Tamandua tetradactyla: one gene and its partner. The protein of the gene in region 1 interacts with the protein of each later gene in a biochemical or structural test. Links are inferred from orthologs where the notes say so. Each region holds a gene or a part of one and is shown in the gene's direction. Other genes may lie near its edges.

Region 1 (7,553 bases):
GCATGCGAATTAACCTTCCTTTAGTCATTTGCTAGACTGACGGGTTCAATAATGACTAACTCCTACTTTGGGTGAAGACTAGGGGTTCAGTTTTCCAGTTTGCAAGATTAAAAAAGTCCAGGCTCTGTGCATTATGTAGTTCATCACATACTGTGGGAGTCACTTTGTGATTCAGAAAAATCACACCATTATAAAATCACATATTTGCACAGGGCTGACTCACCTTTCAGACACATTTATTTAGGGATTATCAGTTTTACAGAACACAGCGGGTCTCTATGTCTATTTTTGTTGTTCAGACTTGCCTAAAGCATGTCATCATGCCGTTTCCTATCACGGTGGATTTTAAAGGTGGTTTGTACACTCCAAGAATGCTGCCTTATAAGGGAGAGGACAGTGCCAGCAGGTGGCTGGCGGAGCTGGTAGGCAGTGCCAGGAAATAGCCACACAACCACGGGCAAGGAATCGATTCTCCATGGGCCTCAGCTTCCTTCTCTGTAAAAACAGGAGCTGGTCTCTGTTATCAACTCTCTAAGGTGTTTTTCCAGTTTTAAAATTCAGTGTTTCCTTCTCTGGTCTCTTACCAGGGAAAGAAAATTATAGTGAAAGAACCATCACCTCCAATATATGCAGAAGAGTCTAAAATAAAGCAGTGTTCAAAGGATGAGTGAAGAGGATGTAGAAAACCGGCCTCCCCAGGGTCAAGGGAGCCATTGCTTGTTTATCACATACTCAGACTGAACTACGTGCCAGGGGTTTTCCTAGGGTGCTTGAAAAATATTAATTCATTTAATCATCATGACAGCCCTAGGAAAAAAGTACTGATATTATCCAAACTTGACAGATGATGAGCCCTTGGGGCAGATGAGGCTGCCAATAGGCAGAAGGCATTCTAGTGGGACCCGAGGAAAAGTTTTGACCTCCAGGATCATCCCGTATTTGCAATTCTGAGGAAGCACAAAGAAAAGAATAAAAGCTTCCTGCTGCTGCCTGGTTTGATACCTCCCTGTTAGGAGGCTGGCAGGCTGCTGGATTCCTGGCATCTGAGCCCTGCCTGCAAATGGGCAAGAATGGAGGGTCAAGTGGCCAGGATAATAGTTGCACATATATTTGGATTATCAAACTTGTCTTTATCAGTTCCTTGACCCCAACATACATCACTCGAATAAACATTATCCCTGAACACCTCCAAGAGCCTGCAGTGTAAATAGTCTACCTAGAAAACACAGGTGCCAGAATACACAGGAATCAAAAGATTTCTATCTCTAAGGGCATTCTTTGCCTCCCCAGCCCCCTACCCCCAGGATTTTTAAAGTTCCATTATTGTGTGTGAATTTTACCACACTTTGTACTTCATTCTAGTCTGTATCTTCACCTCATCAAGGCCAAGGACCAAACCTTATTCATCTTTGCCTGCCCAGCACCCACCACCATGTTTGCAGAATGAATAAATAAAGGATACATCACAGACCAAATGACGTCTGTTTAACTTGCAACTGGAAACCCCCACGAACTGTGCATCAGCTCCACTGATTTGGATTGCAAGGCAAATAATGGACGCGTTACTAAGAAACGTGTTTTTTAAAATTTATCTTCAAGGATGATTTGGTAAACTTTTTCTGCATTTTACATCTTAGGTATAGAGTATACATGCACTTATGCGTTTCTATCATAATATCCCTTTTCCTCTTTTCTTCATGAGCTTCTCTCTATCTTAAGAGAAAAGAATTAGATGGCTTTTAAATTCAGCTTGATCTAAGTGCATCTGATCATTTCACCCCGGGTGCCTTCTGACTTCTAATTTCCTTCTAATACCTTTAACTTTTGATCTTCAGGTGCAAGTGCTGTACATTTATAAGGTTTAATTGACTGCGAAGCCCAGCGTTCCTTGTGAATCCTGCTATAATAGTCAATGAATAACCACAAGGCTTCAACCAGGCAGGGTTTGAGTTCTGCTAAGTAGCCAGGAAACCAGCTGAAAACAGGAAGGAAATATCAGGAACTCCGATATTGCCCCAGAACTAGTATATGCCATTTTATTAAAGGCGTGGAACCGCCCAGGCATAGAGGGACAGTGGCCGGCCCAGGGCAGGGGGGCTGTTTGGATTAGCCCAGGGCTCCTTGGAAGGTGAAGCAAGCCAGGAGAGGGCCCTGGAGGGAGTCGAGACACCAGGCTTGAGGAGGCGCATGAGGGCGCCGTCATCTACCGGCACTCCCCAGGCACACAGCCCAGCTTACACCCCTCCTGCACCTCTTTGAGCCTGCATTTTGTGATCTGTTTCTGACAGATCCTCTGAGATCTGAGAGGGTCCGGATGGTCTGTTTTATGCATAGGACAGGTGTTTTTTCTAAAGGGTTTTTCATAAAATGCTCCCAGAGGGGAGCTTGGAGGAAAAAACAAACTAGCTCTCATGTTGAACTTTTCTCTACCACATACTACAACACTGATAAATTATTTACAGATTCAGCCTAATGTCAACTGCTCACCCCAGCCTCGTGACATAGGTCTCTAACCACTCACTTATTCTATTGAAGAGAGAACTGACCCTAGAGAAGTAAAATAACTGGTTCGAATAGTCATGAGTTAGCAAGCCGAGGAAGGCCATCTCCAAAGTGCTGTGCTGCTTCTCTCCATCTCTCTGCTCAGATGCTGGAAGAACCCAGCACGGACAAAGCACCTCCTCTCAGCTTCTGTCTGTACCAGTGAAAGCTGTCGCCCCAAAAGTCAGTGCACCTCAACAACTTGGAGAAAGCATGAGAATCCCACAGGCACAGAAGTGGGAGCTGCGGGACAAGGTGGCCCACTTTGGGCAATTGGACTTCATGAAACGCTGGCACACCCAGCTTCTCAGACACTAGCTAGGTGTAAGTGAGTAGTCTGGGGTGGGGGGTGGGACCCCTATATTAGTGAAATCACAGCCCTGATGAGTCAGTGTTTTTCTGCTGTACGTTTTTTTTTTTTTTAAGCAATGCACTCTTCACATCTCCATGGCAACTTACCATGGATCTGTATTCCGTTTATGGAACATCTTGACCTTATCTGCTTTCTGATCCAGGCCATCCAGTCAATTCCGTCACCGAAAAATACCGCTCTCCCCTGCTCCCTGTTGTTCCAGGTGTGCAGACTCTGTCTCTGACACAAGCTCTGCTGATACCTGGAAAGATGTCAGTTAGCCAGCTAACCCCAGATCCAGAGCTGTCATGGAAATCAGGGCCGCTGGATAACACAGAGGCTGGGCTATCCTGTTCACCTCCAGCCCAGTCCTTGAGATGCACTTTCAGCCACAGGCCCTTGCCTGAGCTGGCGGGACTTTTCTGTTTCATACACCAGCAGGAATCAGAACTTTCCTCCACAGCATCGGCAATCTGACCTGGAGCCTAAATAGGAAATCCACACATTGCTAGCCATGGACTCGAGTGCCTTCTGATAAAACATGGAAACCAGCAGCATGAGTGGTGGGTTTGACCACAAAGCTTGGGAGTTAGATAAACTCGGGTTTCAACCCTGAATTTCCCATCTGCCTTTTACAACCCAGCTAGGGATTGCCTCCAAGATTAAAGTCCCCCCACAGGTACAGCGGGGATAAGCAACCCCCACAGGCATTTCAACCAGAATGCTCAGTGAGAGTTCAGGGCTTGATTCAGGCACCGCCCAACTCTAGGGGGCGCCACACACACGGGCGCGCTAAGAATGGGGCTCCCCAGGGTTGTGCAGAGAACATCCACTTTCACGACTCAACTAGGTGACCCCCCAAAAACTGAACATTCATAACCTCATTTGGAGACTTTTCATGAGAGAACTGCCAGAAATCCTTCGTCCCGGAACCGGGCCAGCTCAATCTGCGGCCTCTCCATTCGGGCTGAATTCGACTGCCAAGCTAGGAGCTAAAGCCTTGGGACGGCCGGGGAAAACGGATCCCTCCAAGGAAAGACTCTTGGCCTGACATCCCAGGGCGCGCGCGGGGCCGGGGATCCGAGCCCGGGGTCCAGCTCCAGCCCAGACCCTGCGGCACTGGGACAGCGGGCGCCGGAGAGAGGGCGCCGGGAGGAGCCGGGTGCTGGCCTGCGCTGCACTCCGCCTTTCCTCCCCTCCTCCCCTCCTCCTCCGTCTCCTCCTCCCCTGCCTCTCCTCCCTCTTTCCTCTCCCCTCCTCCACGTCGGCTTCCCCTCCTCCTTTCCCCTCCTCTCTCCTCCTCTCCCCGCCTCTCGGTCCCTCCTCTCCGCTCTCCCCTCCCTTTTCCTCCTCCCCTCCCTCTCTCCCCTCCCTCCTCCCTCCGCCCTCCTCCCCTGGCTCCAGAAGAGCGCGCCGCAAGGGCCACAGGCCGGCTACTTCCTCCAGCCGCGACGCGGAGCGCGGTGTAGACTTAGTCCCAGCCCCAACACCCGCTCGCCCACCCCGGCTCGCGCCCCGGCCTCGCCGAGCGCCCCCACCCGCGCGCGCCAGCCGCCCCCGCCGCCGCGGCCCGGATCCGCCGCGCTCGCCCTCGCCCTCGGCCTTCGCCCAGCACCGGGCGCCCATTGCCCAGCGCGCACCCCGGGAGCCCGCAGGCCCGGAGCAGCCGCAGCCGCCGACTGCGCGCCGGCCCTGCCCGAAGCGGCGCGGTAAGAGCGCGGGGTCCCGGGGCTTGGGCCGGGAGGGACCACCTGCGGGGCCGGGGTCCCAGGGCTCGGGCGGCGAGGGGCTGCCTGCGGGGCGGGGGCGCGGGCCGGAGATCCACACCTCCGACCCCCGTGGCCCGAGGTCTGCGGAGAGCCCCCTCCGGCTCGCCGACTCCTCTCGGTGGTAGGGGGGTTTCAGAAACTGGGCGGGGGTCCGTGGGCAACACCGAGGTCTAGATGCCGGGAGAGCCCGGGGTCAAGGTGGGGGTGGCGGCTGCTCCTCGAATTCGAGGTTCGCGCGTCCGAGCTCCGCTGGGGGCCAGTTTTCCGGGTTCCCGGGTGGCCTTCGGAGTGGAGGGGCCGACGGGGGCCTCCGCGGGCCGGGCGGCCGCTTGTTTCATTTCTCCGGGGCTTTGTTTCTTAGCAGGCGACGCGGGCCTGGTGGGGTTTCTTTACGGGGGTTCTTGTCCTGTGGGTGCCCCGCGGGCTTGATTTCGCGCCGGGGCTTGGGGACGCAGGAGGGAGGGTGGCCGCGGTGGCCGCTAGCGCGCCCCGGGTTTCATGATGTCTTACTAGGGCGCCCTATTGTGTGGAGCGGCGCGGGACCCGGAGGGAGGCTCGTATAAGCCCCCTAGCAGGCTACGGCACCCCGAAATCGTGCCGGAGCCCGGGGCCCGGCTTCCTCTGGCCGCCACGACGCCCACCGGTCACCTGCTCGGCCACGTCCAGGGTCCCGGCGGGGGACGGCGGGCGAGGGAGGTGCCAGAGGGAGTTGGGGTGGGGGTGGCGCCCTCCCGTCCTGCTGTTTGGGCGGGACTCCCGAGGGTGCCCCCTGACTTGTGGATCGGGGCGGGGGGTGGGGGTAGGCTCTTGGTCCTCGGGGGGCGAGCTTGGCAGACGGGGTGGGGGTCCTGTTGGAAACGTGGGTGTGGGTGCGCCGGGCTGCCGTGAGGTTCTCTTTCCTGAAGCGTTTTGAATGAAGGGATAGCTGAGCATTTCTGTGTGTGGGTTTGGGATTGGGGGTTAGCTGGTTTGAGGGCACATGAGGCTTTTTATGTGAGACTGTACTACATTTCAGAGTGCTCTAAGATAGTAACTGACCTGCTTCTTTTTTGGAAAGTAAAGAGGTGAGCTGTCCACCTGGGGGGTGGCAGTAATTTATTTTAATGCACCATTAGGAAGATTGTTCCTTACAATGGAAGTCGGTGTGTTGTCTGCCTGCCCACATCACCAGCCATCACCAAGATAAATCTCCAGGTGAAGATTTATTAAAGTTCTGAGTAATCTCACAGTACAGCAACGTGTGTGTCCCCCTCGGGGAAATATTCAAACGCTCATTTCTGGGCTTAGTCATTCCTCTCTCTAAACTGGTGACTTTCGAAAGCGAAAACAGCAAAGGGGCCTTCCATAGTGGGTTACAGATTTGTTTGTTATTTCCCCGCAATTTTACCTTAATACAAGCCTGCGTTCTAATCTTACGTAACTGATCACTTCTCCCAGTGGGGTGCTGTGGTCAGGCCAGTTCTTGTTTTGAATTTTGACCAATTCTAGCCATTCCATTCTGTCCTTATTCCCCCCACCCCACCCCCTTTTCTTTTTGGTTCAAAAGGAGTGATCCATCCAGCAACACCAGAGGGACCTACATTTGAACTTGATTTATGTGGTGAAACTTGTCACGTTGACAAGCCATGTTGAGGAAAATAAATGAACTTAAATTTGATTAGTGATGTGTCTGCCTGAAACCATTTAGTAGAGCACTTTGATTCTGCATGGTTTTTACAAAACTCATTAAAACCTGGACAACAAAAGAATTCGGCTCTGTAGCTAGCAATTACAGCTCTTTATGTGGGAGTGGTGAGCTGCCTTTCGTCCTGGTATTTGTACACAAGAGCCAGGCAGAGCCCTTCCATTGCCTTCCATGGTCTTTGGTCTCTGGGAAGCTGAAACCCGGAGAAGCAAGCCCACATCCTACAGACCAAACCGGGAACAAGAGCTGTCCTCCCGGACCCTGCGTGGGTACCAGGCAGCACCCAGGGGGTTGCCTTTTGCCCTTCTGCCACAGGTAGCACGCGTGATATCATCCAGCCCAGTGACATCAGGCTCTAAAGTTAAAGAGGATTGCAATCTGGGGACAGGTGTGCGCTGTCTCGGAGTGAGGCCGGGGGCGGGCGAAGGGGCTCTTCCTGACACGGGGGAGGCAGCTCAGGACTCAGGGTCACGCACAAATGTGCAGATAAGATTTGGGGTCCTCCCTGCCCCTCGGTGACCCCGGAGTATCTCTGGGATCCGGGACGAGTTCGTGGACGCTGCTGCCTCAAGGCGAGATGGGCTTGCATCTGCCTCTGGCGTGTTGGGGAGGTTTAGGAGGTAGGGACGTGCTTGGCCCTAGCAGGCCGCTGAGTCTGCATTCTGCCAGCGGGCGTCGCCAGCAGCGGGGAACACTGATACTTGAGTCCCTGTGGGTGATAAATTCAACCGAGAAGAGCTTCTGAGCAGAGGAAGTAGACCCAGGAACCCCTCCCCCAAGCCCCACCCAGAGAGCTGTTTATTATCAGTAATCTAATTACCTATAATCCCAGGGTTTTAGCAGCTCTTTCTGAAGCCTCTCGCCTCCTCCCACACTGCCATGTTAGCCTAGGGGTGTGCGTGTGTATGTTGTGTGTGTGTTTGTGTGTGCACCCCGTGGGTGGCGGGGTCTTTGGGAAGTCTGGTTTAACTGCAAATACTGACCATAAAGAGACAACAGGAAAGCACAAACAGAATTAGTTATGTGCAAATATGCAATTTGCTATCTCCAGTAAGTTGAGCAAATTCCACAGTATTTTTATTACTCTGAGCTCTTGGTTGTAACAGGTGGGAGCATACAATGGAGAACACAGGGTAGGGCGAAGGTATGAGGGGTGCCCCGTTTATGGCTTTGGGGTGCCTCCATATGGCTTCAGGGTGCCCCCATA
Region 2 (6,825 bases), on another chromosome or scaffold:
AAAACTTTTCCTTCCACTATTCATGGGCAGAGAGAAAATCACATGACTCTTGTCAGTACTTGGGCAATTTGCATTTACAGAAAACTTACTCCATTCCATCCCTGAATTACTAGCATAAGTATAAGGTGATCCAATTAACAAGTAGTTTTAATTAATGTGTGTTAAGAAGGACTGCAATACCTGAATGACAGAGCTATGGGGGTATTGGTATTAAGATTATATATATATATAAATTATATATATATGTATATATATATAATTTAGTTATGTAAAACAACACCACACTAAAATCTTGACTTTAGTCAAGATCAGTCTTTAGTCAAGATTTGCTTTCAAATCTTGCTGCTTTGCTTTCAAATGAGATCATCAATTTTATCTGTGGCACTTTTTCATTTAACCATATATATGTTAAAGGAAATATTTATATTCCCAGAGTACGCCATGGAGAACAAATCCTCTCGTCAGACTATAAACACCAAGGTAAATATATCATTACAAATTATCCTGTCTTATGGAAAAAAACCCACAGGGAACACGTAAATTAGATTGGGGGTTCAGGAAGGTTCTTTAGGAAAAGCATACCTTGAATAGAACTGGAGGATGGGGAGCATTAGTCCTGGGAAGATGGGGGAAGACTATTTCTGAAGGAGGGGATAACACCATATGACGTCCTGAGATGGGAAAAAAGGTCAGTGGTGTACTGAGTGATGAGGTCAGGAGATGGGCAGGGGCTAAATGATGCTGGACTTCATAAGTCAAGGAATGGCGTTTGGATTTTATCCTAAATGCAGTAGAAAAAGCGTTGAAGGGTTGTAAGTTGGAAAGTAACATCAGCACTCTTGTCCATATATTTTGGCCTGTGTTTCAGAATGTATCTTTAGGATAGATATTTAAATAAGGACTTCCTGAGCCAAAGATATGAATATTTTTAAGGCTCTTGGTATTTCAAGATAGTTCTTACCCATTCAATTTTATACCAATTGTTTATGAGAGAGTGCCCATTTCACCAACCCTCAATAGCGTTAGCACTGACAAAAATTCTGCCATTTGAAGAAAAGTGTGTCACATTGTTTTAATTTATCATTTTATTACAGGTAAATTTGAATATTTTTCATTATTTATTTATATTTTATAGTTCTTTTATATTATTATCCATGATCCATGTTTGTTTGGTTTGGTTTTCTTTTTAGATGATGGAGCTCATCTTATGATGTCAATTAGCTTTATATATTTAAAGAATATTACCCTGAGTCTTACGTTTTGCAGATATCTCCTCCTAGTTTACCTTTTAATTTGTATGATTTTTCCCAATCTTACAAGGATAATTTGTTATTGAAAAAACATTCTTAGATTTGAAAATTTAATATTACTTTAAATTAGAAAAAAAAATGCCAAGCATTCCTGGGCCCCCATTAATGTAAAACAAGTCCCACTGAAATGGACCTGTATAGGTCACTAGTTTACATTAGTTATCATAACACAGTGTAACATTTTATGTTCACTAATTCTTGATGTTTTTTTCATAGTTATTTTACACCATATATTTCTGACTATGTTCTCAAACAAAATATGCGTATAATACTGAAAATGTTTTTGAAAAATGGCTAGATTTTACAATTATATTCCTTAAGTCACTAGGAATTTTTTTTAAGCGTATAGTGTAAGGTAAGTATATAATTTGATTTATTTTTCAAGGGCAAAAATTTCCACCTACGTCTAATAATCCATTTGTATTATATGCCACAAAGCAGAATCTAGAAAAAAAGTGATACCTGATCAAACCAGTATTAGTTGAGTATAGACTGTTGTAGCTGAGAAGAAGGAATCAAGAGGACCAGGTGTGGGATTCTTCCTTTAGGTGGTGCTAAGTCTCTAAAACATGTCTGAGTTGAGACAAACTATTTCTTGTCCCTACTCTTTTTTTCTTTCTTTACCCTCTCCCTCTCTTCACCATTTAGTAGATAATGTTATAACTTAGATTGCATGGAAATAACTATTCTGGTCTTCTGGACCTCCTCCTGAATCCCCACCTCTGAATCACTGCCCCCCACCCCCATCCCACAATATACACATATTCACTCAGCTGAGGGACAAATGAGGTAAATAAATTTATTCTGAAGAGAAAATAGAGTCAAGAGTTAAATTCTAGGCAAAAACAACAGGAAATTCAGGGATAAGTTATCTAAAATATATTCGATAGATGAGAGATGTCTGGTTATAAAAATGGTAATAATGTCTACAAAATATGATTGGGTAGAAATGTGGTGTCATGCAGCATCTTTTTTCCTAAAAGGTAAGCTTCCACTTATACATGTATAACATTATCTCACTTGAGTGATACCTGTGAAATATATAGAACCATATAGTCCCTCTATTTTACAGCTTAAGTAACAGACTTTTTTTTTTTTAAGGTGATTTACTTAAAGCTATTCACTGTTGGAATTCCTGGTGTAGCATTCAAACCAAGTATGGCTTTTTTTTTTTTTCTGATATAATCTAACCCCTCTGCTGAATTCTAATGGAATATATTTATCCTTAAAGGAAAATGAATCTATTTTGTGATGTACCTTAAGAAAACCAAAAACTCTCTGGGATGTATCAGAGATGTGAACAGTTAAAGTTTATGCTTCTTCAACATTCAGAATATAAAGTCATCAATGGTGTAAACCATAGACCACCTAGTCAAGGACAACCTATCTGTAATTTCTAACTCAGTCTTAGAGACCAGTTATGAAAGCAGATGGATCAACTGGATTCGAATCCCCAAATTTCTGGGATAGTCTCATCCCAAGGATTTCCAGGTACATGTATCCAATGAGAATCACAGTAAGAAATTTGGACTGATAGGTCTTCCTTCCAAATTCCAAGTGGAGAAAGGCCATTAGGAAAATATATGAAATCTATAAAAGTATACTTATCACCCAGACTTTTTTAAACCATGTATTGGGACCTTCTCTGGTTAGATCTAGAATCCCAAAGTGTAAAAATAGCCTTACTTCTCACACAAATTTGTTGTGTTCTTGCCAAATTGATAGCGGGCGGACCTTTTTATTTTGAAATCATGTTTGCGTGTCTATGGAATGAGAAATTCAGTACATCCCTGCAATCTTTTTGATGATAGGATAAAAAAGATAGTAAAACTATTTACCAATTTTATTTCAAAAACCAGTGTTTCCTAAAGGCTCTGTAATTCCATGTAATATAAACTACATAACAGGGACATCCCATATGAAAACAAATCTTGGCTGACAGATGCATACATCCCCTTACTGTCAATGCCTAACAATGATATGAGTGCTTAAATCTTTGTGTGTACTGCTTTTACTCAAGCGTGCCTGTATGTATCTTTGACGTAGGTATTGTTACAAAATGGCATTTGTGGATATATAAGAATATGCTGAAACAAATTTTGGACAGAGGCGCCAAAGAAAGGAAGGAAGGGAACGTAGGTGTGACTAAATATAAATAAATGTATTTATATTATTTGTACAATATGAATGTACACTAAAAAAAAAAAGCCTTTTAGCAGAAAGAAGCAAGTCCGGCCACTGCCGCTAGAGTTCTCCTTTTGCCCACGCTCCCTACTCCTCCTCGCTCCATCTGAAACCCTGTTTACCCCAGAAACCTGAACTGTGTGGACAGACAGAGGAAGGGAAGGAAAAAAAATCAGACACAATAAAACTCTGAGGGGGAGAGAAAAAGAGAGGCAGAGGGAGTGAGCGTGTGTGTGTGTGTGTGTGTGTGTGTGTGTGTGTGTGTGTGTGTGTGTGGTGGGGGGGGTGGCGAGAAGAGAAAGAGAAGGGGGAAAAGAGGAGGGGATTAAAAAAAAAAAAAGCCCACACACTCAACAACCAACATGTGAAGCGGGAGGCAGCGGCCTCGGGAAGGGACTGCAAACTTTCCCCAGGCAGGCTGCCGGCGCCCTCCAACTTCTTCCACTAAGCGCGCGCGGCCCCTCTCCCTCGCTCCCGCGCCGCGCCGCCTGCTCGCGGTTCCAGACCGGCCCGCCGCGCCGCCGCCGCCGCAGCATCGGCGAGGAGAGACGGTAAGTGGGGAAGGCGCGGGCGGGTGGACTGCGGGCCGAGGCCGGCGGGGCACGGCCGGTGCAGCGAGCCCTCGCCGTTCGTCACCCGTGCCGGCATCTTTCTTCCCCGGGGCCGCCGGCCACGCACCCCTTCTCACACACACACACGCACATGCACACGCACACCGGTCCCGGGCCGCCCTTGAACATCTCTATCTTTCCTCGCCTGGTGTCTCCCGTGTGTGTTTTATATGATGGAGGATTATAAACATGGCGCCTCTCAAAACTACCAAATCCTTTTCCAGCAGTCCCATGGCCCGCGGAGCCCGGGCGCGCCGGGGAGGCAGGGCAGCAGAGGGCGGCGGGAGCGGCGGCCCGGGCCGCGCCGGCACCCACCCGCGCCCGCGCCTCGCACCCCGCGCCGCCCCCCGGCTCCCCGCGCGGCCTCCCCCAGCGCGGCCCGGCTGGCTCCAGGCCCCGGGGAGAGGTGGTTGGTGGTTGGGGAAGGAGGGCGGGCGCGGAGAGTCGGTGCCGAGGGGGACGGGGAAGAAGGGGTGGGGGAGGGCGCGGGCGAGGCGGCGGCGGCGGCGGCGGCGGCGGCGGCGGCGAGGAGCCAGAGCATAATGGTGGGGGAAAAGAAATCGGCTTCCGTGGGAGGGGAAGCCCCGGGGCGGCCAGTTGCGCCGGGGGCGAGGGTGTCGGGGCTGCAGCTCGGGGTACGAGGTGGGTGCGGGTAGGGGCTGCTAATGAGTATTAATGGCTATTACGATGACCCCGTATTGTTGTGCCTCTGACCCCCACCCCCACCCCGGGTTGCAGTCTTTTCGGGGTGGCGGTTAGGTGGTGTTGGCTTCGCCACTCGCCTTCTCCCCCGAACGTATATCAAAGTTGCCCGGGGACCTTTGTGTGCTTGGGGTTGGGGGACCCTGCCGGGGACTGGGGTCACCCGGTGCAGGGACCCTCGAGGTGGTCGTCGCCGGCGGGGTTTTGTGAGGGATTGTTGTGGGCGGTGGTGTGTCACTGTCCCGCGACCCCTCTTGCCTTCAAAGGCGCTTGGGAAGAGGCTCCTCGGGAAAACCGCGTAGGGGCCTTGTCGGTGTCGGGGAAGCCGGGGAGTCGCGTGAGGCGGCAGAGCGGCCCCTCGCGCCGCGCCGCCCGCAGCTCTCCCCGCCCGCGGCCCAGGCCTCTCGGGCACACGCCTGCCGGTCCGGGTCCGAAGGGAACGCGGATTTATGTGTGCGGTGAGGGCGGGGAGGTGGGGAAAAGGGGAGGGAAATGAGGGGGTGGTGTAAACGTTTGTCGTCGCGGTTTGTTGTTTGGAGAGTAATGGCAGCGCCGGGCAGGGTTTGTGTACTCCCCCCACCCCCCGAACTGAGACTGGGATTCGGTCTGGTTCTCCCGGGAGCTGGGGGCAAGAATCCCTGGAAAGACCAGGAACAAATAAACGCGAGGTCCTTCCGCAACAGGTTCCTCTCCCCCTCTTTGGTAGCAATTCCTTCATTTGCACACCATCTCCCCAACTTCTCTCCTTCCCCAGTGAATTGTGTTTCTGCGCCTCTCAGTCTAGCCTCAAGGATTTTCCTGAGGAATCTACCACTTTTCTTTCTATTGAGAGCATTGGACAAAAGCTGCTGCTTTTGGAGGAAGCTCATAACAGTCGTGCCTTGTGGTTGTCTAAGTTTCTTTGGGATGAAGTGGGAACTCCTTTAGGAAGGTGTCATCCCGCTTCCCTTGCACCTTCTGGTAGGGATGGGGGCGCGGAGGACCTCGGAGATGTAGTGAGGCAGACCATGAGTCGCGTGGAACATAAAACTTTTATTTACGTTGTTTCCCTTCGAGCTTTTCTCCCTTCTTCTGTGGAGGCACGCTAATTGTATATAATACGCGATTTTATTCATGTGTATTTATGAAGTATGAAACGGCTTTGTGTATTTAAATAAGCAAGCGCTAAATGAATTGGGAAGGTAGTACAAATTGCAAAACATTCCCACAAGGAAAGTCCGTTTTGATAAATGTCTGATGGTGATTTTAGTAAACCACTGCATTCTGTGAGGGAAACTGCTGAAGCAAGTGGCTAGTGGAGTGGAAAAAGCAGTCTCTCTTGAGTTTTTAAAGTCTCCGGGGACTTAACGTGAGGGACTTCGCACTACCTCACTCTTGTCATGCCGAATCCTATAATAAGCCTTGAAGGAAGAATAACTATTAGCTTCGGTTTTATATGGAAGGCAAGAATAATTTTAATAAATTATTAAAAATAATTTTTCTGTTTTTTGAAAGGCTGAAAATAAGCTTTTACTTACATTCTTTTAAACTGAAAAAATGTGGTAGTTTTAGCTTAGTAATTATAGTATGCATAACTTTTTCAGGCCTTTGGATCATTAATTACAATTAATAGTTGGAGGTCACTTACCAGGGAGATAGTCTTAGTTGTACTATAAAGTTTAAATACTTTCTGGTAGGTAGACAAGGTCATTAGTTTTTTCTTTCTAATTTGTACAAGTAGGATATAACATATTTCTGACAGGCATATCAATACCTTTTTTTTTTTTCTAACTGGTGCTGGTTACATTGCAGTCGTTATTTTGGTCAACTCTACTTTAGACCTTGGCCAGGTTAAAGAATCAAAGATGTGAAGATAGGGTTGTGTTACTATGTAGTTATGACAGAACCAATAAAATATTTTTCTTATATAATTCTACCTGTGATGAACAGATAATTTCTGTATTTTAGTTGGTACTTTTTCACGGATATTGTTTATATGAAAATTCAAATATCAGTACCCATGACATCTGTTGTTATTT

Evidence for each region. The genes of interacting proteins can lie anywhere in the genome.
Region 2: the proteins of ETS2 (region 1) and ZMYND11 form a complex in vitro, tested with the Homo sapiens proteins (2 studies listed by BioGRID). The link is inferred for Tamandua tetradactyla from reciprocal best matches to the Homo sapiens genes ETS2 and ZMYND11.

The regions. Positions count from the first base shown.
Region 1 is NC_135336.1:103,035,245-103,042,797, reverse strand, and holds the start of ETS2 (protein C-ets-2), read left to right. Parts: upstream 1-4,535; 5' UTR 4,536-4,602; intron 4,603-7,553. UniProt on the Homo sapiens protein: Transcription factor activating transcription. Binds specifically the DNA GGAA/T core motif (Ets-binding site or EBS) in gene promoters and stimulates transcription.
Region 2 is NC_135327.1:206,533,865-206,540,689, forward strand, and holds the start of ZMYND11 (zinc finger MYND domain-containing protein 11), read left to right. Parts: upstream 1-3,807; 5' UTR 3,808-4,045; intron 4,046-4,594; exon of another isoform or gene 4,595-4,650; intron 4,651-5,829; exon of another isoform or gene 5,830-6,207; intron 6,208-6,825. UniProt on the Homo sapiens protein: Chromatin reader that specifically recognizes and binds histone H3.3 trimethylated at 'Lys-36' (H3.3K36me3) and regulates RNA polymerase II elongation. Does not bind other histone H3 subtypes (H3.1 or H3.2).